Linked DNA regions of Drosophila melanogaster. The protein of the gene in region 4 interacts with the protein of the main gene of each other region in a pairwise test. Each region holds a gene or a part of one and is shown on either strand. Other genes may lie near its edges. The genes, in order: sqz, chn, akirin and Rel.

Region 1 (7,912 bases), about 10 Mb from region 4:
TGGAGATAAGCATGTGGCGTTTGAAACAAATCATATTGTTATTCATGTTTTGAAAATATCTACAATTAATGTAAAGGTTGTTCTAATTTTGCCAACGATAACTACAAAACATATATGTTCTATCCAATATATTTACATACAGGGTATCAAATTTACAAATAAATTGGCAGTGTGGCCATACGTTGCGAGCAAAAATTACTGTACTTCAAGCATTGCCAACACAAGAATATTTTCATGGTTAAAAATTTTGGCGCGATAAAGCCGCAGTTTAAAATGTCAAAGTGTGCGCGTTCTTGGAGGTTTACCAAAATTTAGAATCATGCTTTTATTTATCGTGCATAAGTTGGTAAATTGGAATTAAATCAAGTTTTTTCCAATTTGTTTCTGGTGTGTCGTTTGTTTTGGGGTCTGTACGGCTGCTTTAATTAAAAAATATTAAAATGAAGCACGCTATTCTTTAAGGACTTTAAGGAAACGTACCTTTCTATGTTTGCCCAGGAGTTGATAGACGATATCAAGGCTGAGGATCGCATCCTACAATGTCCTTGGTGCGAAGAACAGACGTTGAGTCCATCAGCCAGCACCCGGAAACTTTTGTATTGGCTTTTAACGCTTTCAATTCGACTTTCAGAAAAGAGTCTCCTCGAAAATCACGACTGATATCCATGTAAATGAATCGGTAGATACTTGCACTTTCTTTTTAGTTATTAAAACTGACACACTGTCACTTTGCAGGTTTTAACCGCTGGCGGAAATGAAGAAGGAATCCGGGAATATTCATTTCAGTCCATTGTGGTGCACAGCGGAACTCCCCTCAGGAACAATCTTAGCCCACTAAACATCAATAAACTACTAAAATAACTTTGACTGCTGCTTAATTTCAAATATACATAAATTAATATTTTTTATTTTTAAGTTAAATTTTTTAATTCTTTTGGAGGCTCAAATTTTATATTTGGCGCAGCACTTTAATGTAGAAAATGTGAATAAAGAAATATTTCAAGGGTAAACAACAAAAAATGTTTTGATTTTGTAAAAAAAAAAACCTTAAAAATTATGAGGAGTTATAAAATAATTATCAGTTTCCGGAACTTTAAAATTCTTATCTTCAATTTGATCTTCAAGACATATTTTTCTTATAATAATATTATCAATAATATTATATAATATGTAACGGATATTTAAGTTCTTCATTTTCTTTTTCAGAAGTATTAACAAATGCATATATATAAATACATATATATTTATACAATAGAATCGCATAGGCATGAATTCAGCGCGCAAAATAATATAATTACAATAACATTGATATTATATAATAGATTATAATAATATACATATGTAAGTGTAAGTTATAAAATGGTAACAAAGTTCAACAGCTCATAGGCGAAGATCCAGTGGCACGGAATTTTCAATACAGCCAGGAGAACATCCTAATATTTTGGATAAACTCTTTGTGCCACTGTTCCGGGTGATGTGCATCATGTCCAGCACGGAGGACCTTATGTACCACTATTGCTGTTTCCTAGATTAGGATTCGCTAAAAGCTTAAATTGTAATTTCAGATTCCCAAAAATAGAAAATACCGCCAAAAGTCAGGGCAATGGCACTGCAGAAAGGATGCAGGATATTATATGTTCTTTTTGTTTTTCTCTCCCCAGAATTTGGCCCAATTAAATTTGGTATTCGAAAAAAAGAGCACGCCTCCTCCCCGAAACCGAAAAAAAACTCTGTGGCGCCGGGAACAAAAAAGAGCGCGAGAGAGTGAGAGCGCACACATAAAAAACATAAACAAGCCTTTTTCACTAGTGTGCGTTTGTGCGGAGAGAGAAGAGAGCGAAAAACAACTTCTGAAAAAAGACGCTCTTCGCTGTGATTTTTTTTCAGTCAGTTTTTCGACGGTCGTGAACACGAACAGTTATTCTAGCTCCTCCTGTTCTGCTGCTTCTGTTGGTGTTTTTTTGCGTTTGCCGCGACGTAAACAACCGAAGAGCGGAGCTTACGCCCCCAACTGCTCCAGCTCCACGCCCCCCTCGCAACGTGTTCGTTGTAAATGCAATTAATCGTTGTTGGTCGCTGAAAAAACTAATATTTCGGGAGTCCGATACAAGAAGGGCAAAAAAGCACAAGTGCAGAAAAAGCAAAAAAAAACATAAGCTTGCCGTGTGTGTGCGTTGGTGTGTGTGTGTATTTTTGGCGTGCGCGGCCATTTTTTCTTGTTGCCACTCGAGAGTCTCTTCTGTGTGCGAAAGAGAGGCCCGACGGCAAAGCAGAACGTAGCAAACTACGCAAATCCCCACTAAATTCGCTAATTTTCGCTAAATAAATCAATCGCAAGGGGTGCCCAAAAACAAACAAAAGTACGAAAATAGAGTGCCGCAGACCACAAACAAATCACCTGCGCCAGTGTGTGTGAGTGTGTCAGTGTGCGAAACAGGCAAGCTCCCAGGCGGGCTCCCACCCACAATCAGTCGGCGAACACGTGCTCCAAAATATCAACAAAAGTTGGCCCACAAACATAAAAAAGGGGGCCGCGACTGCATCCGAGACCCGAACGCCGGAACACAAAAGGCACTTTCAAATTGGTAAGTACTTTGCGCTGCACGAGCATGTTTTATTTATTTGCCTTATTGGTCAAACACACTTGCGATTGCGGTGTTTGTTTCTCTTTCCCGCGCTCACGCACAGTGGTCGCTTTTGTTATAATTGTGAGACTTGAAAACGATCGCCGTAAAATTCACATTTTTAACAAAATATTTACTGTTCGAAAGAGGGGTTTTTTGCGAATCGATGATTAGTTGACGTGTTATTATGAGAAAAACATAAAAGATTATAGGACATTATTTTTTTAAAAATGTTGCAAAAATGATTTAAAGTTTGCGATTTCCTTGTTAAATAACATGAAAGCGTTTACAGTTATTACTATTACAAAATTATAACGATTTAATATGCATATCCTTTATATATTAATTGCTACTTGAAAATTACCTAATGTAAAAACTTATATAAAGCAAATGAATTACAATTTATTTATTGGTTAGGACTCTATATCCTATTTTATAAAAAAAAAATAATAGCACAATTTCCAAAGTGTTTGTCCAGTGTTCCATTGGTCAAATACTTATTGTTTCCTTATTTCCGAATCTTCGCTATTTGGGGAATAAGTCAAAACCTTTAAACTCCAAACATTTGTAAGCCGAATGCGACTGTCAACAAATAATTAAACCAGAATAATTTCAAAAGCGTTTTGCAGTCGTGCCGCACTACTTGACCATTCCGTTTAGTCGCTTGTTTGACTTTTTATGCTCGTTCCCATTCATTTGGTGGCGGTTTTTTTTTCATTTGTGTTTGTGTGTCGATGTCTTTTTATCTTCCACTTTTTTCGTACTCATCAAATATTCGCTTCTTTTTTCGCACACATGTCGCCCCCAACAAAAGAGAGTGAGAGAGCAGTCCGATTGCGGTTGTTGCGCTGTTGTTGTTGTTCGCTCGCTCGTTCGTTTGTTTATGCTCGCTCTTTGCTCTCTTTTGTTTTCAGCTGCTCGCGCTCAATTAATTTTCGTTGATTCGTTTTTTGTGTGTAGGTTTTTTGTGTATACCATTTTATTTATACGCTTTTTGGGCTTCTCTTTCTCGTGTTTTTCTTTTTTGGGGTTTTCTTCTTTTTTTTTTTGTTGTATTTTTGGGGACTGACCGATTGCGTTTATTTATCCCCAATTTCCCCATTTGCATTCATTATGTTGAGCGGTCAATTTCCCGTGTTTCTGGATCTGTTGTTACACGGTTGCGATTACGATTCCGGCTTCTGTTTTATATTGCTCGCCACTTTCGCTTATTTCATATTACAATTGTTTGTTCGGCAAACAATTGTTTGCTTGTCGCCCCGTCTCGCTCTAAATGTGCGCAACAAGCGAGTGGCGCGTCCTTTTATTTTCTGCATTACATGGCCGCCCTCCCCCTCCCCATCTTTACACAGAATTCCTGCTACCATGCTGTTCAATTGTCCAACGTCAGCATTAACAACAACAACAACAAAGGCAGAACCGGTTATTTTGACCAGGCAAAACCAAAAAAAAAAAAGCCAAAAATTGAATTTACCTCTGACGTCAACACCCACCCGACCAAAAGGTCGTATTCAAATTCGCGCTCAGAATACAGTTTCCATTTCACAAGACCTGATTTTGCGATTTATATGCAACTATTTACTTATAATGCGTTATGCACATAAACCAATGTTGTTTAAATTAATTATGGAATACTTGGACATTTTTACAGACATAAATACATGAGTTTGAAAACCTTATTTCGTATCAAAAGTCACGTGTTTTATGCACATTATAAATATTTCGGAGACTTAAAATTAGTTAGTTAAAAGCCAAAACTGAATCCCAATTCGCATAATAATACCGACATTTTCTAGTGAAGATAAAAGCTATGATTAAAGATTTGAGTAATGACTTTTGCCTGTTTATTTGTAATGATACTATAGTTATTTGTATTTGTCAAATTTCAAATTATTCGTATGTTTGCATGAATGCACTAATATTTTATAAATATTTTTAAAACAACGCATTTAATGTTTTTAATTGAGCAATAATTGCGACGCATTGTTATTCAGCGAATTATCAATTATTCATCCCAGCTGAAATATTTAAACGCCCTTAAAAACTTTAAGTTTCATTACATTTTATCGCAACGTATTCTTTTCAAATACGCTTCCGTTTTGATTTAACGAGCAACAACTTCTGAAATAGATAATATATTCTAAGAAAATTGACCATTTTGGCGTAATTTAAAGTAAGATATTATTAATTCTTTTTAACTTTGACTTAATATAAGTTTGGAACACATTCTTTTCATGTGTTTTTTACTGTTGCATGGAAATCCCACATTTTAAGTAATTCATTTGGGATTTACAGACCAAGAACATCAGTGGTCCATTGGAAACCCGGCTGCATCGCCCTAAAAAGTGGCAGAGATGTAGTTGCATTCAGTTCTCGAGGTTGTTGACACGTTCCGTTGGCGCCCCTGACGTTTTTTGCCTTTTTTGCTTTTTTTTTTTTTTTTGCCTGCCCATCGTCACCTGGCCACAGAGTAATCGCGATTTTGGTTCTTCGGGCCAGAATGCGATTCCATTTCGCTTTCCATCTGGTGGTTGTCACCAACAATTTCTGGCCGCAAGCGCCTTTTTTGTTTATCTTGTGATTTTTTCCGTTGACTAACTCTTTTTTGCCCGGCATTGTTATTAATTCTCTGCGCTTTTTGCGCCCCATTGGCAACTTTTTACTGGGTTGCAACAGTTGTGCTTTCAGTCAGTACCTTCTGCGCGCAGCACGTTTAATTCACAAACAATTAATTAATTCATGCATATTTATGTTAATGTGCAGAAATTAATGTACCCAACGGCGGGGAGTGGAGCGGCCAAGTGGCAGAATCGAAAAGTAGTTTAAGCACTTGTGCCGACTGGGCACAAATTTGTGGATTCAAGAATTACAATATTTCTGTACTTTCAGCACAAAAACGCGCCGAGTTGTGTAAGCCCGCCGCCAGTGAAGTGTCGACTTCCCGGCGACGAAGACCGCAGCAATATTTCCACTAGCCAGTAACGCACAGGCTCGTTCCGCCGCTGACGACGACCCCAAACTGGACGCCCGCACCATCGCCTACCGCCCGCTGACCCTTGGCGGCCACCAGACGCCGCTTATGGCCGAACTGCCGACGGCGCCGAACGGCGTCCCCAGCGGCGATTATCTGCACCGCTCCATCGATCAGCTGCGTTCGCTGGGTCATCTGACCACCGCCCAATTGGTTCACGACTACAAGCCCTTCAACATTAGCGAATTCCGGCAGAATGTCGCTGAGCGACTGGACTACTCGCTGAAGAACGGCCTGGTGCAGCACCAACAGCAAATGGTCATGGAGCAGCAGCCACATCCCGATCAGCAGCAGCAGCAGCATCTGCATCACCCGCAACAGCAGCAGCACCCGCCGCAGCTGAAGGTCAGCTACAGTGCGCCCAACTCGCCGCCCACTCCACACGAGCAGCAGGAACAGAAGGTAATCACTTATTTCAATATTGAAAAAATATATCATACGCATATAAATGTTACTGATATGATACTTAAATTGCGATCTTAATATTTCTTCGGTCAAAGATTATATGACTTTGCTTTAGTAACCCATTCATCGTGTACTTAATACTAAACGATACCCTTAAAACGTTCTATCTACTTCCAGTACGACCCGAATCGATCGCCGCCGCGTCAGCAGATGAGCAGCGCTAGCGGCAGTGGCAGCAACGGCTCCTCGCCTGAGGAGGAAAGCCGACGGGGAGACGGTGATCAGGCCAAGCCCTACAAGTGTGGCTCGTGCAGCAAGTCCTTTGCCAACTCCTCGTACCTGTCGCAGCACACGCGTATCCACCTGGGGATCAAGCCGTACCGCTGCGAGATATGTCAGCGCAAGTTCACGCAATTGTCGCATCTCCAGCAGCACATCCGTACGCACACGGGTGACAAACCGTACAAATGCCGGCACGCCGGCTGCCCGAAGGCCTTCTCGCAGCTATCCAATCTGCAGTCACACTCGCGTTGTCATCAGACGGACAAGCCGTTCAAGTGCAACTCCTGCTACAAGTGCTTCAGCGACGAGATGACCCTGCTGGAGCACATTCCCAAGCACAAGGACTCCAAGCACCTGAAGACGCACATCTGCAATTTGTGTGGCAAATCGTACACGCAAGAGACCTACCTTCAGAAACATCTGCAGAAGCACGCAGAGAAGGCGGAGAAGCAGCAGCATCGCCACACGGCCCAGGTGGCTGCCCACCAGCAGCACGTACCGGCGAGCGGCATCGGCTTGAATTTGCAGCGCCAGGCCATGAACGATGTGAATGCCGCATATTGGGCCAAAATGGGCGCAGACAGTGCGGCGGCTTCGCTGGCGGAAGCCATTCAGCAGCAGTTGCCGCAGGCCGGCGGTCAGCCGTATGGCAACTTTGCATCCCTGCAGCAGCAGCATCAGCAACAGCAGCAGGAACTGCTGCATCATCAGCGATTGGCAGACACGCCGGGGCATTCGCATAGTCCTCACGAGGAGGCCGCGGGCGAGGATCTCGTCCTGCGCCAGTCAACACCACAACATCACCTTCAGCAACAACAGCAGCAGCAGCAACAGCAGCAGGCCCAGCAGCAACAACAAGCGCAGCACCAGCCATCGCCTGGACCGGGAAACTCGGCCTTCACTCCACTGTCGGCGACAGTGGCTCCACCGCCACATCTTCAACAGCATCGCGGTCCGCCAGGATCCGCCGCTGCCTATCTGTATCAGCAGAATGCGGCGGCAGCAGCAGCGGCTTTTCCCACACAGCTCATCTCGCTTCACCAGATCCGAAACTATGCCCATCAGCCAGGAGCGGCGGGTCTCATCGCTGGCGATCATCTCGCCTTGGGCCTGAGCGCTGTTAATGCCGCCAAAGAAAAGGCGCAATAGTACAGGCCGTCAGGTCGGGGCCAAAAGAGGCAGCAACGATGACATTAGCTTAGGATCAACGTTTAAGTTGGTATGGATACAAGAGCGTGGTATTTTATTCTCTTTGAATCCATACCAATTGAAACACTGAAAGTAAAATAAGTTACTCATAGTTTCCAGTTGGCAGTGGCATAGGAGCTGGGATTGTGACTGGTTTTTCTTAAGCATCCTTCCAACTTCCAAATTCATCATGAAACTTGTATACGATTCGGCCAAAATCAACTCCATCACTGCCCAAAACCAATAAGAAAATCAACTGCAATCCTACAGTTTCTGTGCTATTTTCAACTGCCATATGAAAGTAATATGTAATATCTAGATCAACTCAGGATTTTAAATACGATAATTATGCACACTTTTAGATATCTATAAGCAATATTCA
Region 2 (4,783 bases), on a different chromosome or scaffold from region 4:
ACAGTTGACGTTGCAGAAAATTCTCAAAAATGGAGATGAAAAATCCTGTATTTTGGTGTGTGTGTGTGTGTGTTTTTGTTTGCGTGTGTGAGTGCAGCTGAAGAGGCAACTGTAAAATTAGGTTAGCAAAGGAGTTTTGGGGTCTGTGGTGTGGGCTATGGGTTATATGGCTGACTATGTGGTCACATGTGCAATTTGATTAAAACTTGGGTGCCGCTAAAAAAAACTGCTGTCCTCAAGTGACGGAAAAAGTGGACGAAAAAATGACGAAAATCTAAAAATGAACGTCGTCATGGCTAAGTGGTAGCCATTTTTTACCTGCAATCGTTTTGCCACTCGACTGAATGGTTTTGCGGCTAGGGCAAAAACATAAAATCCGCGAAAATTAATTAAAGATTGCGCACCTTACGCTAATCTGTTTTAATGAAATTCCCTTTTATGTTTTTTCTTGGCCTTTAAAGTGGAGTGGGTCATCCTACAGATGAATAAATCCTATTTTTTGTCTGCAATGTTCTCTTTCAATGTATCATGTCAGTACTATTTAATTAGTATTTTATTATTAATGTATTATGCAAAGCTGCTGGCCTTCTTAAAATAAGTAGTACATTGTACTAATAAACCAAGATTATAATATTTTATATATCGAGGATTAAAACAGTTTTTGTTTGGCAGCTTTTTGGCAAAAAATTATAAATACGAGTGAGCATTTTAAAAACATTTTACAAATTGACAGAGTTGGCATGACTAAGCATTGTACATGGCTATAATCCAGTGAATATGTTTATTGATCAAATAAAATTAATCAAATAACCGTATGTAGAATTCTAGGTGGTAACTTAAACTCTACAAGTGTAGCAATTCGGAAAGCAGCTCCAAAATAGTTCGCAATGGGTTAGTGACACAGCTAATATTAGAAGGTAGTAATCGTGTATGATGTAATGTAAAATTATTGTAAAATGGAACCGGAAATGTAATTTTTAAGGAGGATTGCAAATGAAATTCAATTTCAATAGCATTCTATGTAATGGAAATTCTTTTAAGCTTAACAAATGAAAGCTTAACAAATAAGAAAATTGGTCTTTAAAAATCATATGTTGTTGTTTAATTAGTCAAATAATAAATTCAACTATTATTATACTTACAGATAATTAAAAAAAATAAATAACTTAAGAGATTTTTTGCTGTGGCCTTTTTTCCGCGCTGAATACAATTAATTCGATGTTTTCGGATGTTTTCGGCGCGACTATCGATAATACCCCGATACTGACAAATAAAAAATAAATTATTTTTTTATTTTAATATACTCTTTCTTAATTTAAGTCAATTAATAAGTCTATTTATATATTAGAATCGTTTTTTTAGCTTAGTGACAAAGTTTTGCCGGAGAGTCCACTTGTTATGCGTGGGAGCGTGAGCGTTGCGGAATGCGCGCGCTTTTTGCAATTGTGGAAAGCGGAAAAGCGGAGGGGTGTCAGAAGAAGAAGCAGGGCGGCGCAGACAGGAAGCTTTTCCCACAATTGCACAACGTCGGAGAGGTATTATTATTACGCGACAGGCAATCGGCGCGGCAACAACAGCAAACTAAGCAACGCATCGCAGACGCAAAAACAAAACTAAATATTACAACATATTTACTTGGCCCAATAGGGGGAGGGACGGGAAATTTTCCGCCCAACCCATCAGCCACCCCAAAAGAGTGGGTGGCGGAGAATCGCCGTAGGATCCGCTCCTCCGCGACCATTCATATTCATTCAGTCACGAAATCTCATTCGGTGTGTGAGTGTTGATGAGGTTAGTTGTGAAACGCGGTCCGTTCTCGTTAAGTCGGAAAACCGAAAAGTGCATCAAGGAAATCATTTAACAAATCAGTGAAGTAAATTAATTTCCAGCTGCAAAGGAGAAACACAAACCTACTAAACAGTGTGCCGCGCGAAAAGAGGCGAAAAAGTGTTGCATACTCCGGGGCTGGCTGCAAAACCTCCGCTAACATGTTGGTAAGTTGGTGAATAAAATATTTTAAAACAAATCGGATCAGAGTAGCATGGAGTATCTATTAATTGATTTTCCTGGGAGGGGGGGCCTTTCCATATCTATTTTCCAAGCCAAGTGATTTATTGATTTTTCCGCAATGCGTTTGTGTGTGTGTGTGCGTATCTTTTTCGGTATGCACTTTTTCCAGAGAAACATCCCACTGGGGGCAGCAACCCCCAACTAAAAAGCGCCAACTTCTATTTTTCCTTCATCAATACTTCACACAAACACACACACGCACACAGTGGAATAAAAACAAATGGTATTGGTGTGTGGATTGGAGCAGGCGCTCTATGCAACGGTATAGCAACCCCCAAACAATGCACAACCCACCCTCTTTCTCGCTCTCGTTATGGCTTTGAAGGGTATTACTATCCCGCTCTCGCGACAATAGCTCAACTGTTTTGGCATTTGAAAACTAACTGCCGCCCCCATCCCCCCGCACCCACCTATCGTAACCCCCTTAGTTTCTCGCTCCTGGGTGGGTGGTTGTTTTTCACAGCCGGAGCACATCATAAATTTTGTGTCTATAACAATTTTTGTTATATTCAACCACCCCACCCACCTACCCACCACCCCAAAAAGCGACCCACACCCCTTATCAAAAAAGTGCAAAGGAATTGTGTTGCACTTTCGAGAGTTCAACTTCCGTTCGTTCACTCTCGCGCTCTCTGGGAAAATAGAAAATAACGGCACAGGCTTGCGCTCTCTCCAAAGAGAGAGATGCATTTTCATTTCGATTCGATGGGGGGTTTTGCATATGATTTTTTGGGGTTTCGGTTTTTATGCAACATATGCGACTACATATGTATGCATATGTATGTAGGAGTTATATAATTTGTATTTGATTATTTTGCCTTTGACGAATTCCGTTTGTGGCATGGTGTTTTCAAATGAAAACTAAAAATGTGTGGTTTTTTGTTGCCATGGGCAATATGGTGAAAATTTGTGGGTGGCAATGTCTGCTGCAGAATGCAAATAACTGCATTCGAGTGCTTTATATATATATTTATATATATAAGATTATATTCCCACGCACATATTTTATACATTTATATATTATATGGAAAATGCAATTTGTATGCAGTCGAATTGCACTTGCCCGGGATTATGCCTATATAAATAAATACTATGTACGGGGTAGGGGGATACCGGCAACGGAATTTCGTTTCATGGCGTCTCCATGGATTATATATAGAAATTAGTTGTGTTTTTGAAGCTGCTTACATAGACTGACAGCTTAATTGCTTTTTACTCGTCGACAAAAATTGATTTTAAGCTCGAGTTAAACGAAGCCAAGCACTGGAAAATGCCTAGAATGCAACGCATATTCCTTTAGATTGGAAAGTAAAGGGGTGGAAAACGGAAGCAGACTATAAGACAAAGTTAAGCAAGTTCGTTAAGCAATAACAACTAAGTGAGTTCGTTAACCCAACAATACATGACAGCATTGTTGAAAACTTTGACTAAAATTGGAAATCATTATATTAGCGATCACTTTCTTTTATTTCCAAAAGAACCTTATGTACTTTTTGAACTTGATTCTTTGGTAGTCACTACATAACATGAAAAAAGCGTAGCGATCATTTGATTTTATTCTTAGCCGCAAACTGACTATTTCCTGTTGACTTCATTTCATTCACACTCCCCACGCTGATGATGATGATTGAAAAAATCACCCAGGGGCCAAGACCCAGTGACTCACCCGACCGCAAGGCAAGCCAAGCGGAGACTGTACCCAACCCAATGCTCAAAACAAACCCAGTCTCGAAAACGCACACACACACACACACACTACCCACCCACTCAGACAAAGTGGATTCGAGTTGGGAGTTCGGAGGGAGTTGCGCATGCGTGGCCGTGTCCCACGCCCACTCGTCAAGGGGTGTCTCCACATAGGAAAAACATTTACGGAAATCTAAAGATTTGCTCTTTGAAATTATGTTAGAACTCACTTGATCTATAGGAAGTCACAACTAGTACTACATTTTCATTGTTTGAATCCTATATCAACGGGATATAACAACATATAGGCAACGTATTATAACAAATGCCTACATAGACAGTATGCAAATTTGTACCAATAATGTCCCCTCTTTTTTCTCTGTGCATGTTGGATGTGAGATAGTGTACGTATATAAAGGGTTGGAGCGAACTATACAGTGGGAACCAGTGATCGCACAACCACCCCCGGGGTTCCCAAGTTAAATGAGACGTGACAAAGTGCAAGAGTTTCGACCCCTTTGAGAAGTGCCAGGCAGATTTCCTCTTCACAAGTGGCGCCCAAAATGGGAAGCCCTATTCCAGCGAGGAGACTTTCTCCCAACTGCAAAACCGAAGAAGGGCTTCGTCTTCAGGGGCAACAGGTTTTGCTGGCCGTAGGAAGCCATGTGCTGCTGTAATTGGTCAGGCTCATTACGGGGATCGTTGGTTATATCACAGCTTGCACCGGGCCAAGGATGGACTAACGGGTCCACCCAGGCCCAGTGAGCACTGCCTCCGAAAGAACCTCTCAGGGGGATTCGAGGTGGCCCACATGTTGTCCACTGACGGCTGCTCACGAACCGGTTCCAGTCACCAGGCAGCTCCTTTATCCGCGATCATCATCATCTCCATTTCCATCACCACCATCATCATCATCTCCTTGGCCGGCCACTTCCACTTGAGTGGCAATGAAGGCAAAGTAGGGTGCTCAGGCTGCTCCATTTCGAGGGTTAACCTGTTTGCAGTTACCCTACGGTTGAGGTATGTG
Region 3 (6,268 bases), on a different chromosome or scaffold from region 4:
GCTGCTGGCGCTTCTTCACCTGTAAAATTGGATTTCGACGGTCAGTGAAAGCATTTAAATTTGAAAAGAAAGTTAAAAATTAAAGTATATAAAATACCTTTAACATGTATCGTTTTGTTCAGTGTAGCTACCTTTGACAACGCTGTTAATTACAGCGATGACAAATCGCTAATGAAGTGTTACCGGCAAGCCCAAACGCACACAAGCGCACACAAAGCCAACTCCCCGCCGATATAAACATATGTACGTAAAAAGAACGCCAGAACCACGCGATATGATAAGGCTAATTAAAATGGTTTGTTGCACCCCAGCATTTATCTTACGATAAGAATATGTGTTTCCCAACGCTTTTTTAAAGTGTACAAAGACAGGACAAAAACAAATAATTGTGAACCGTACAATGACCGTTATGTTTTTGTTCTTATTGGAAGAGGAAGATTGCCAATTGAACAAAGGCACCGAAAGAGTGAGAGGGGGAAGTGAATCACCCCTCACGCATGTACACACACACACACATGCACACGCACCCACGCAACTGCGATCAATGGAAATCCCTCTCTTCCATGAACAATTTACAGTTCACAGTGGAATGAGCTTATATGGGCAATGAAATGTATGTTTGTTCTGCTTCTTGCCACCACTAACACTCGCACACAAGGGCACTCACGAAAATACCCACTTGTTTTTCTTTGACTGTACAGACATACAGACTTACATACCACACACTACATCATCATCATTGTCCAACTCACGTACATACACACAAAGACGAAACGCAGCAGAAGAAATAGAATTTGCAATGCGTTCGTCACCACTTTAGTTTGCTTCTTTTCCTTTTTATCTGTTTGTCGCTAATACCAGGGCCAAACATTCCAATAACATGACACTATTTCGGTTTTAAGCCCGCCACGCCCACAAACTCACCTCCTTATTGCCGGACATGCCGCTGACGTAGACTTTCAAGACCATTTTCGCAGATTACTGTGTCCTCGCACCGCAAATGAAATAATATTTTGCAACTAAAATCTGCTGGCTACTTTCACGGCGATTAAAAATATTTATAGATCTTTTCTTTTCCTGCTTTCTTCCGTCCTGCGCCCCTACGTAATGTTTTTCCACTGGTGACGAAGGCACACGCACTGGGCAAGGTCGTTGGTTTTATTGGCTGTAAAAACGGCAAAGACGCGGATAAAAAAATTGCCTGGCGACGCTTATAAAAGTGCAAAAATATTTGATATCAGGAGTGGAAAATATTTCCTACTTTGTCGTTGAATTGAATGGTGGGACCGCGCATTGACGGCTATAGAAAACCTTCCGGCTTATCAAATATACTAAATATGATGCTTGATTAAAATACTAAAAACTTTGAACTTAAGTGATATTTCAAAATTAAATATTTTTAAGACAACTTAAATTTTATTATGCTCCCATGTAAGGTTTTCATTTTTTAAACGTTCTTCGATTAATAATCGTAATAATAAAATAATAATTTATAAAAAGCATAAGATAGGCTTTTTAAGGTTTTTTAAAAGATAGAAGAAAAGGATTCTTATTATAGAACAAATTATTTTTAATTTGGCGTCGATGAGTTAGCGGCTTCAAGGAACGGTGGAATTTAGAACATGAGGGTGTTTTTTATTTATTAATTTTTTGTTACTTGGAGTTGAATTCCATAAAAATAAAAATGCAATAATGCTAACTTTCTACAAACGACTTAAGGTTATAGGACTCAAGAAAGTACATAGAATATGCAATTGAAAAATGTTCTCCCCAGACTTTTCGGTTATTTGAAGTTTTTGCTATATTTGGTAGAACCATAAAGTATTTTTTGGTATAGATCCGTTAGCAGGGCAACCAATATTAGCGGTCGCCATGCGGTCACTCTGTTCACGTCCCGTCACGCAAGCATCGTCGTCCATTTTTGCTAAGAAGCGAGACGAAAATTTGTAAATTATATCTAGCGAGTCGCCGAGGACGAACAACTATTGACAGTGCATTTCAGTGGCCTTTGGAATACTGCTCAAACAACCAGCAAGCAATAACATTACTTATATCTAACCGAAAACCTAAATTAATCACCCAAACTGAAGTACGGACGTGAATGTAAGTGGGTATGTGCCAGCGGACTAGTGGCACAATAAAAAAGTAAATAAAGCGCGTGTGAAGTGGTGCAGAAAGCAAAAAAGCAGTCGGAAGGAAAAATCAAAATACGCATTAATGTAAGTGCGATTGTTGGAAAAGCTGTTTAACTTTTTGTTCCTCTGAAAAGCTGATAATGATATGCGATGCGACCATTTTTAAAATTTCATGAAATCAACATTCCAACTCACAACGGTGTGCGTGTGCGTTTCTTTGTGTGCGTGCGTGTGCAGGCTAGAGTGGGACAACCAGTGTGATCGCTTTGGCTGCTGCCATTTCGTTTGCTTTTTTTTAAACTAATCTCTGGCATTTGTCACGTAAAAGAGTATAACGTTAAACCCAAAAACGTTTTGTATATGGCTTTAAATATTTAATAATTGTGGGCAGAGACAGCAACACCAGCAGCAGACGCATACACACGTGTTGCGGTTTATCGAGAGGGCAGTGTGCGTGTGTTAGTGCGGAAAACAGCTGGTACAGCTGCCGCTGCAGCGACGAAGAAGAAGAAAAGAAAGAAAGGGGAAGAGTGAGAAGAACACGCATTATTATCCTGCGTAGTTTTCTTTTATCGGTGGTTGTTCTGCTATTGGGTTACAGTTTACACTTTTCTCTGTTTTCTTTATTTTCCCTCTGCATTGCTATGCATTTTGCCTTTGCGTGGTGGTTTTTTTTATTTTCATTGTCGGTCGTCCTTTAATTGCGCTGCGCCACTTCGTTTCGTCGCTTTCTTTGGCTGGTTTCTCCTTCTCTTCGGAGTTTCTGGATTCGTATTCCGATTCGGTATCGCCCTTTTCCTGCGACAACAGCAGCTGGGTGCACGGTATCGGAGCTGTCGGCGATAGCCGAAAGAAGCTAGAAACCCCAAGGAAGCCAACATCCTTTTAATTGTCGTGGAAACTATAATAGTCTCATAAAAATTAGGTTTTTAAAATGGTTTTGTCATTCTATTCTAGAAAAAGCTATGAATATAAGAATATAACAATATGTTTAATTGCTTACTAATTTTATTGAACAATATAATTTAATCGTGACGAAATGGGGGAAAAAAAACATTTTTTTGTTGTCTTGAATTTTTTTTCCTCTCTTGTCATGATTATTTAGGTAAAACGGACGTCATCAAAGTCATTAAACTTACGCGAACTTCGCATTTAAAAGTTTTTTACTGGCATTTCTATTTTTAATAGCTTTCTGGGGAAAATATCGGATAATAGCTTTTCAAATTATGCATTGCTAGCAACTTTGACTAGCGAAAAGTATTTACTAAAAATTTTTGTACCTTCCTATTTTCGGCGCTCTTTTTAAGCAAAGGCCCTTGTTTTGTAGCGTTGAAGCCTCAAATTATTTCCAAAATCACGCCCCATAAGCGATAAGATAAGAGAGCGTACAATTGTTGCCCACGATACATACAAGGCGAGAAAAAGTCCAAATTGCCAGCATTGGCGGCCATAAATCGCTGCACCATTTTCTTTTATCGGCTGCGTGTGCGTGAGTGCACGCCTGTGAATCCTGTTTTTTCCTTGAAACCAGTTTGCGTCCGTCTTTTCTTTGCCAGCAAGGTGTTCACTTCACCTTACTCATTCATTGTTTGTTTGCCCATTGCAGCCGACGCTTGATCTTCCATCTGCAGCATCCATCATTTGGAATCGAGGCAATAATCAGCATCTACCGACAATCAAGCAAGCCATCTATCTATCAGAAGACCACCGGGTAGTAGAACCTCAATCATAGCGATGGCCTGTGCAACCCTGAAACGAGCCCTAGACTGGGAGTCGATGAACCAGCGGCCTCCGAAGCGCCGGCGTTGCAATCCCTTTGGCCAGGCTGGGAGCAATGCAGGTCCAGCGTCGCCATCCCGCGACGGTCCCAGCACCTCGGCTGGTCTGCCCCACACGCCCAGCAACCGATTCGCCAAGGATAGCACCGAACCTAGTCCGTTCAGTGAGTCGTCGCTGGCCAAAATGTCACCAGGTTAGTAAATCAGGTCGATGCTGGAAAAGGGACGTCGGATTCCTTTTATGCATATTACCTTAATACACCTTTCTTCTTTTCGAAACACAGACAAAATGGCCGAGAGCTTGTGCAATGAGATCAAGAGACTGCACAAGCGCAAACAGCTGCCGATCACTTCGTCGGCCTTGGAACGCATGCAGGATTCGGAGTCCAGCGGATCGGAGATGGGTCCAGAGAGTCCGCGCCGCCCGGACAGTCCACAGAACCTGATGCGCCACGGCGAAAAGGCCCTGTTCACGTTCAAGCAGGTGCAGCTCATTTGCGAGAGCATGATCAAGGAGCGCGAGAATCAGCTAAGGGAGCGCTACGAGTCCGTGCTGACCACCAAGCTGGCCGAGCAGTACGATGCCTTTGTCAAGTTCACATATGATCAGATACAGCGTCGCTACGAGGCAGCGCCTAGCTGTGAGTTCAAGTTACCATCGGTCATGGTTATAGTGCTAATTACATTATATTTTTATTTCAGACCTGTCGTAAAGCTGTGTACACAGCTGTAGCCTCAGAAAGAAGAAATTAATAATTGCACTACGATCTTATGTGACGGTAGATCTACCGCGACAACAACAGCCCTCATAAACTATAACAAACAACAAATAAGGAAACTAAAGCAAACGCAAAACAAACCAACAAAAAAAAAAAACCTAAAAAGCAAAAAACCTAAAAACAAACAAAAAAAAAAAAACAAACTACAACATACATCGTGTTTAATATATTTTGAAATACACGCGAAGAAAACGGTTATAGTTTATGCCTAGATTTACATATATATATTGTATCGGTTAGCAGCAAAGGGATGAATTATTTAAAAGCAAGCAAAAACCACAAAAGAGAGAAACCAACAAACCAACTTGTTAAATTTATGTTTTTCACATAACGCAAATTCTAAATAAAATGACAAATATCAAATTATGAACTATATGAACTATAAGCACACCGCCACTGCAGACATATACATATGGGTGCATCCGTAGAGAGAACGATTCAATGAAACCTCAAACGTAGCTTCGTACATAACAGACCGACAGAATTGGCAAATATATAATGTTAGGCACATGATGTAGCATATAAGGTATGATGTAAAACCTATCAAACTACATATATTGTTTTTTTGGAAATTGTAATTTATGAAGCGAAGCAACAAAGATAACTCACAACTCATGAAGAACACTTTTCATAGTTTATTTTTGCATATTAGTTGTAACACTAAGGCGAGAAACGAACGCTTGAATTTGCCTATTTTCTCGAGTATCGTTTGTTAATTGTTTCTTCCTTTGATGCGAATTATTGCAAAGTAATGTAAACACACAAAACAATTGAAATGTTTCGATTTGCTTTACACCATACAAAAATGAATAACGAAAAGAAAAGGCAAACAACAAAAAAGGTATAAAAGTTATTCATTAAGTTAAATTGAACGCTTTCTTATAAAATACGCTTGACAGAAGATGTTTCATGTTCATTGCAATTATTTTTTCACACCTTGAAGAATATATACGAGAATATATGATATATATATATATATATATTTTTCAATTACCGCAATCATACATACTACTTTATATTAGTAATTTAAACTTAAAATTAGTAAAGAAATGCCATTTTTATATTAAAACAAACAAAAATAAAATGATGAATTGTAGATGCCCGCTGGTCTTTTCTTTTTAAAGCTTTTTATTCTGTTTGTGAAGCGAACTCTTAATTTCATCCGTTTATAAACCACAATATTCTTTTTTTTATACCAACCCGTATTATCCGAATAAAACTCAATTGGTTCTGGTTGCTCCAAATCCAGCTAATGCTAAATGATTAACCAGGTTTTTCAATATAATTTGCGAATCTAGCAAAACTGCCATAGGTGGGGAAAAGACTGAGCAAAATGAGAGATACCTTTTGTGCAAAACTTTCCATTTGTGAATAAAATTATGAATAACCTTTACAGTGGCTTCTCCAGACTCTGAGAATATTCATTTTGATTTATTTAATGTGTTTGTGCGTTCAACAGAAACTTTCCAAACTTAACACTAGTTAACTAAAAATACGCTTGATTCACATGCTTACAATTACATAATAATGCATTAAAAAGTCTTCAATAATAAATACATTTAGTTCAAAACTCAAT
Region 4 (5,955 bases):
AGCAAATATTCCCAACCAAAATCGTAATCATGTAACTGGTAATAAAAGCAACAAAAGTTGTTCTCCACGTCTTTAAGAATTTCCTAAATAAATATTTGTGCACACAAGGCGAACTTTTAAAAATTTTCATGTTGAGAAAATAAAATATGTTCAATATGTGTTTAGCTATTTTCCGCGTTGTTTCAAAATCGAAAATCCATATATGCACATATGTATTTGTTCCGTTTTAAGCCATATTTATATGCACACAGTTCAAAACTTTTATCGACAAGTGTTTAAAGCTTTTAAGTCGCGCTCGCTCGCACACGCATATTTAGTGCGCTGAACCGAAAAGCTTTTATCCAAAATATACAAACACGTGCGAGGCTCATTCAGTGATCTGTTTCGTTCTATACAGTCCATCGGTATCCGACAATCAGTGCAGTTCGAATTTTCCACCAGGAAAATTTCGCAAAAGCCAACAAAAGAAGTCACAATAAGGTATGCTGCTAGTGAAAATTGGCTAACAAAAATCCATAAAAAATACATAATTGACCTTCAAAGAAATTTGAATAGGCGTTCTTAAGACACGTTTGCTTTTATCAAGCCAAGAAAACGAATTTTCCTTTGTCCGCATAAAGAGCTAATTTTGTAGCCTGCCTATTAATAACTCTAGTCTAGACGCAGACTAGTGGTTGCAAAGTCAAGACCCCGATTTGTTTATGTTTTTCCTGCTAATTGATTATCAATATAAACAAACTCATCGTCAACTGATAAGGTGTAAAAGCATTTACACACACACACCCACACACCTTGGCATGGTAACAAGAGTAAGAGAGGAACGGCGAAGTGAGAAGATTGATTAACACATCAAAAAGTGCAAAGGGATCGTAAATACATACATATATACTCTAAGTGCAGCCTGGCAACAGATCAGCTGTTTCTGCGTGAGTGTGCGTGTGTGTGTGCGCGGGTCCAGTGGGAGTGGAAACCGACTGAATTGCAAATTAGTTCAGTGGCGCATGCTTATGTAGTTTTTTTTTATCATTTAGCACAAGTGTCTTAGGATAAAAGAACATTCCGGTGTTTTAAATTTTCCAACCATGTTGCGACGTTCTATAGGATCCATTTCGGTCTTGGCTTCCCGGAATTACGCCGGAAAGTCTAACTTCAGGTGTGTATGCTCATAAGAAAGTGAATCGGGTCCGAAATAAAACGTAATATCATACGAAGAAAAACAAAGCGTGCGCTAGAGATGAGTGCGTGACGAAAGTGAATTAAGGGAAAAGCCAATGGAAAGCGTAAAAATATATTATTAATAATACTAATATTCGGTACTTGCATTGCATAATTATTATTATTTTATAACACAGTTATAAGTTGTTACGCCGGTTCTCATTATAAATTTGTATTAAAATTCCTTATATCTTTATATTTATATAAGTGTTGTATTATTTATATTAATATTTTGTATTATATACCTTTATATCTTTTTGTCGAAATAGGTTAAATTATATTTATAAAAATTAATCAAGAATAATGGGAACAAACAATCGCGTACGCTTCCATCCCTAGATTTGTAGAACATCTGATTGGGGCGTTGCCACCCAACTCGTTTTATCTGCCGGTGGCAGCTCTGCCTTGTTTTTATTTTAGTGTGCGCGGTGTGTTGAAATCAGGTATTCAAATAAATGAATTTGAACCGTAGTTTCCGTGAAAAGCTGACCCGAAAGCTCGGCGCAAATAGCTTAAACCTGTTATCAGGGCAGCGAGCGTTTTGCTCGCAACTCGTGAGCGATACTACTTGTGTTCGCGCAGTGCTTCGTTCATTTTCGTTCCAGCAGTGGCGCACTAAAGTTCCCCGATTCGCTGCGTCGTTTTTCCATAAATTTGCATATATGTATTAGTTGGGTGGAATACATATAAACAGTGTGATTTCGCTCTGTAAACAACAACCGCGAATCCAGAATTCCGTACATGCTTATAGTATAGCCGATCAAAAAAATCACACTGAGTGGTGCGCCAGAAAAACCCGTGAGTCATCTCGACGTGGCCGCCGCAGATAATTTCCCATCCGCCGAACATCGGGGAAGTACCTAAAACGAATGGTCAGCCATCGGCGGAGCTCGTTTCGATCATTAGCGTTCCGATCGGCGAAGGCAGCGGATCACTTTTGAGTTGTTAAGACGCTATTGATCAGAAATATTGGATTGATACGGACTATGAACATGAATCAGTACTACGACCTGGACAATGGGAAAAATGTGATGTTTATGAACGATGCATCCAGCACCAGTGGCTATAGCAGCAGTACATCACCCAACTCCACCAACCGATCCTTTTCACCAGCCCACTCCCCGAAAACCATGGAACTGCAAACGGACTTCGCCAATCTTAATTTGCCCGGCGGCAATTCACCACACCAGCCGCCAATGGCAAACTCACCATACCAGAATCAGCTGTTGAACAACGGCGGAATTTGCCAATTGGGTGCTACCAATTTAATAAACTCCACTGGCGTTAGTTTCGGCGTTGCTAATGTCACCAGTTTTGGCAACATGTACATGGATCACCAGTACTTTGTGCCCGCTCCGGCCACTGTGCCACCGTCCCAAAACTTTGGATACCATCAAAATGGCCTGGCATCTGACGGCGATATCAAACACGTGCCGCAGCTGCGGATCGTTGAGCAACCGGTGGAGAAGTTCCGCTTTCGGTACAAGAGCGAGATGCATGGAACACATGGATCGCTAAATGGCGCCAATTCGAAGCGGACGCCCAAAACCTTCCCGGAGGTTACACTGTGCAACTACGATGGACCCGCCGTCATCCGGTGCAGTTTGTTCCAAACTAACTTGGACAGCCCACATTCCCATCAGCTGGTCGTGCGCAAGGACGATCGGGATGTGTGCGATCCGCATGATTTGCACGTGTCCAAGGAGCGCGGCTATGTGGCGCAATTTATCAACATGGGCATCATACACACCGCCAAGAAGTACATATTCGAGGAACTGTGCAAGAAGAAGCAGGATCGCCTGGTCTTTCAGATGAACCGCCGCGAGTTGTCCCACAAACAGCTACAGGAACTGCATCAGGAGACAGAGCGTGAGGCCAAGGACATGAACTTGAACCAGGTGGGTAAACCAGCGCGTAAACAATATCGAGTTGCTTGCTTCGATGAGGTGAATATGCACGTTTGCATTTATTATTCACACGTTTAATTGCTCACTTTAGAATGCTTTAGTCAATTAATTATAGGTTGCATTTGCTACCTTTTAATCTTTTTATTTAAGCAGTCTGTAAAGTATCTACTCGTTTAGCTCGAATTATATAAATTTCTCTGCTAAAATAACTGAGCAATATAACATCGAAGCAATTAACTTACTGAAAAGCAACAAAGAACTCACTAAAAAAGTAACACCAACTTTAGGTGCGGCTCTGCTTTGAGGCCTTTAAAATTGAGGACAACGGCGCATGGGTTCCACTTGCACCGCCTGTATACAGCAATGCAATCAATAACCGCAAGTCGGCACAAACTGGAGAGCTTCGCATCGTCCGCCTGAGCAAACCCACTGGCGGGGTGATGGGCAACGATGAGCTTATTCTACTGGTGGAAAAGGTCAGCAAGAAGAACATTAAAGTGAGGTTCTTCGAGGAGGATGAGGACGGGGAAACCGTGTGGGAGGCATACGCAAAGTTCCGCGAATCGGATGTACACCACCAATATGCCATTGTGTGCCAGACGCCTCCGTACAAAGATAAGGACGTGGACCGCGAGGTCAACGTGTACATCGAGCTCATTCGTCCCTCCGACGATGAGCGCTCATTCCCGGCGCTGCCCTTCCGCTACAAGCCACGGAGCGTAATTGTGTCGAGGAAACGCCGACGAACCGGGTCCTCTGCCAATAGCAGCAGTTCGGGAACAGAAAGCTCTAATAACTCGCTGGATCTGCCCAAAACGCTGGGCTTGGCGCAGCCACCAAATGGCTTGCCAAACCTTTCACAGCATGATCAGACTATAAGTGAGGAGTTCGGACGCGAAAAGCATCTAAATGAATTTATTGCTTCCGAAGATTTCCGCAAACTTATCGAGCACAACTCTTCTGATCTCGAGAAGATCTGCCAGTTAGACATGGGAGAGTTGCAGCACGATGGTCATAACCGGGCGGAAGTGCCATCGCATCGAAATCGTACAATTAAATGCTTGGATGACTTATTCGAAATTTACAAACAGGACCGCATATCGCCAATAAAAATCTCGCACCACAAAGTGGAGAAGTGGTTTATCGAGCATGCTCTGAATAACTACAATAGAGACACGCTCCTGCACGAAGTGATCAGCCACAAAAAGGACAAACTGAAGCTGGCCATCCAGACGATACAGGTGATGAACTACTTCAATCTGAAAGATGTGGTCAATAGCACTTTGAATGCGGACGGTGATAGTGCCCTGCATGTGGCGTGCCAGCAAGACCGAGCGCACTACATACGACCTTTGCTGGGTATGGGATGCAATCCAAATCTGAAGAATAATGCCGGAAATACCCCACTGCATGTGGCCGTCAAGGAGGAGCACTTAAGCTGCGTGGAAAGCTTCCTTAATGGAGTGCCAACCGTACAATTGGACCTCTCGCTAACGAACGACGATGGTCTGACGCCTTTGCACATGGCCATTCGACAGAACAAGTACGATGTGGCCAAGAAACTGATCAGCTATGATCGGACCTCGATTAGCGTGGCCAACACAATGGATGGTAATAATGCACTCCACATGGCAGTTCTGGAGCAAAGTGTGGAGCTATTGGTGCTCATTCTGGATGCCCAAAATGAAAACCTTACCGACATCCTGCAGGCACAAAATGCAGCCGGCCATACTCCCTTGGAATTGGCCGAACGCAAGGCAAATGACCGGGTGGTCCAGCTGCTGAAGAATGTGTATCCGGAGAAGGGAGAACTGGCCATGACCTGGATTCCATGTAAGGTCAAGGAGGAGATCGATTCATCGTCGGACGAAAGTAGCGATGCTGGTCAGCTGGAGATCAAGTCCGAGGAGATGGACATCGAAACAAAGGACGAGGATTCCGTGGAGTTGGACCTAAGTAGTGGTCCAAGAAGACAGAAAGATGAATCCAGTAGAGACACCGAAATGGACAACAACAAATTGCAGTTGCTGCTCAAAAACAAATTCATTTACGACCGGCTCTGTTCGCTGCTGAATCAGCCTTTGGGACATGGGTCCGATCCCCAAGATCGGAAATGGATGCAACTAGCCCGCCAGACGCATCTGAAGCAGTTCGCCTTTATATGGCTGGGCGCGGAGGATCTGTTGGATCACGTGAAAAGAAAAGGAGCCTCTGTAGAGTTTTCCACATTTGCTCGTGCCCTGCAGGCAGTGGATCCACAGGCTTACGCCCTACTGGTTAACCCAACTTGATTATGTATTGAATGTTGATCAATAAAGTACCTTAGTTTTACAAATACTATTCTCTTGTGGAATGAAAAATACGCGAAACTAGGATGCCTGGGATAGCAAGCTTTATTTTTAAATATCAGAGCATTAATTTATTTTCCTTTATTAGCATTTATTTAGTTTCCTTTATTATTCCATGGAATCTATTCTTTAGAATAGTTCTATAAGCAATCTAAACTTGTTCCCTCAAACAATTACCATCGGCGCCCTGCATGAGATCACTAGCAAAAGGGGATCCATCGATAGCTCGGCATTAAAAAGTACATTCTAAGAATGGGGAATCACTAATTTTTCATTGCCGCTCGCGCACGCCGCTTGGTAAACAAGTGGGTGAATCATACATGTACTTATGCGCCTAAGTGTGTGTTGTGGGGGAATTACTGTTGCGTAACTGCAGTGACAGGCGGGGATTTACCGACAGCCCTTATCATTCCCGGTTTATGACCTTTCCTGCTATATTTTTTCAAGAATATCGCAACTAAATAATGTTTTAAGGAATAGTACAG

Evidence for each region.
Region 1: the proteins of Rel (region 4) and sqz interact in binary tests that used the Drosophila melanogaster proteins (3 or more experiments, as listed by UniProt).
Region 2: the proteins of Rel (region 4) and chn interact in binary tests that used the Drosophila melanogaster proteins (3 or more experiments, as listed by UniProt).
Region 3: the proteins of Rel (region 4) and akirin interact in binary tests that used the Drosophila melanogaster proteins (3 or more experiments, as listed by UniProt).

What each region holds. Positions count from the first base shown.
Region 1 is NT_033777.3:19,162,332-19,170,243, forward strand, and holds the start of sqz (squeeze), read left to right. Parts: upstream 1-1,879; 5' UTR 1,880-2,585; intron 2,586-5,513; 5' UTR 5,514-5,703; coding exon 5,704-6,057; intron 6,058-6,237; coding exon 6,238-7,491; 3' UTR 7,492-7,912. UniProt on the Drosophila melanogaster protein: Transcription factor involved in neuronal fate specification. First required in embryonic CNS development to define the number of cells that express apterous (ap) in the ap thoracic cluster of interneurons.
Region 2 is NT_033778.4:15,113,695-15,118,477, forward strand, and holds the start of chn (charlatan), read left to right. Parts: upstream 1-1,766; 5' UTR 1,767-1,994; intron 1,995-4,783. UniProt on the Drosophila melanogaster protein: Probable transcription factor involved in the development of the adult pattern of macrochaetae. Required for accumulation of achaete (ac) and scute (sc) in proneural clusters.
Region 3 is NT_037436.4:7,367,966-7,374,233, forward strand, and holds akirin (akirin), read left to right. Parts: upstream 1-1,877; 5' UTR 1,878-2,103; exon of another isoform or gene 2,104-2,219; intron 2,220-2,374; exon of another isoform or gene 2,375-2,585; intron 2,586-2,834; exon of another isoform or gene 2,835-3,060; intron 3,061-3,741; 5' UTR 3,742-3,869; coding exon 3,870-4,107; intron 4,108-4,197; coding exon 4,198-4,554; intron 4,555-4,615; coding exon 4,616-4,626; 3' UTR 4,627-5,746; downstream 5,747-6,268. Other genes in the region: Sh3beta, read right to left, coding at 1-19, 925-969. UniProt on the Drosophila melanogaster protein: Molecular adapter that acts as a bridge between a variety of multiprotein complexes, and which is required for embryonic development and for normal innate immune response.
Region 4 is NT_033777.3:9,043,682-9,049,636, reverse strand, and holds Rel (relish), read left to right. Parts: upstream 1-1,659; 5' UTR 1,660-2,201; coding exon 2,202-3,113; intron 3,114-3,409; coding exon 3,410-5,413; 3' UTR 5,414-5,454; downstream 5,455-5,955. UniProt on the Drosophila melanogaster protein: Transcription factor that plays a key role in the humoral immune response as part of the peptidoglycan recognition protein (IMD) signaling pathway.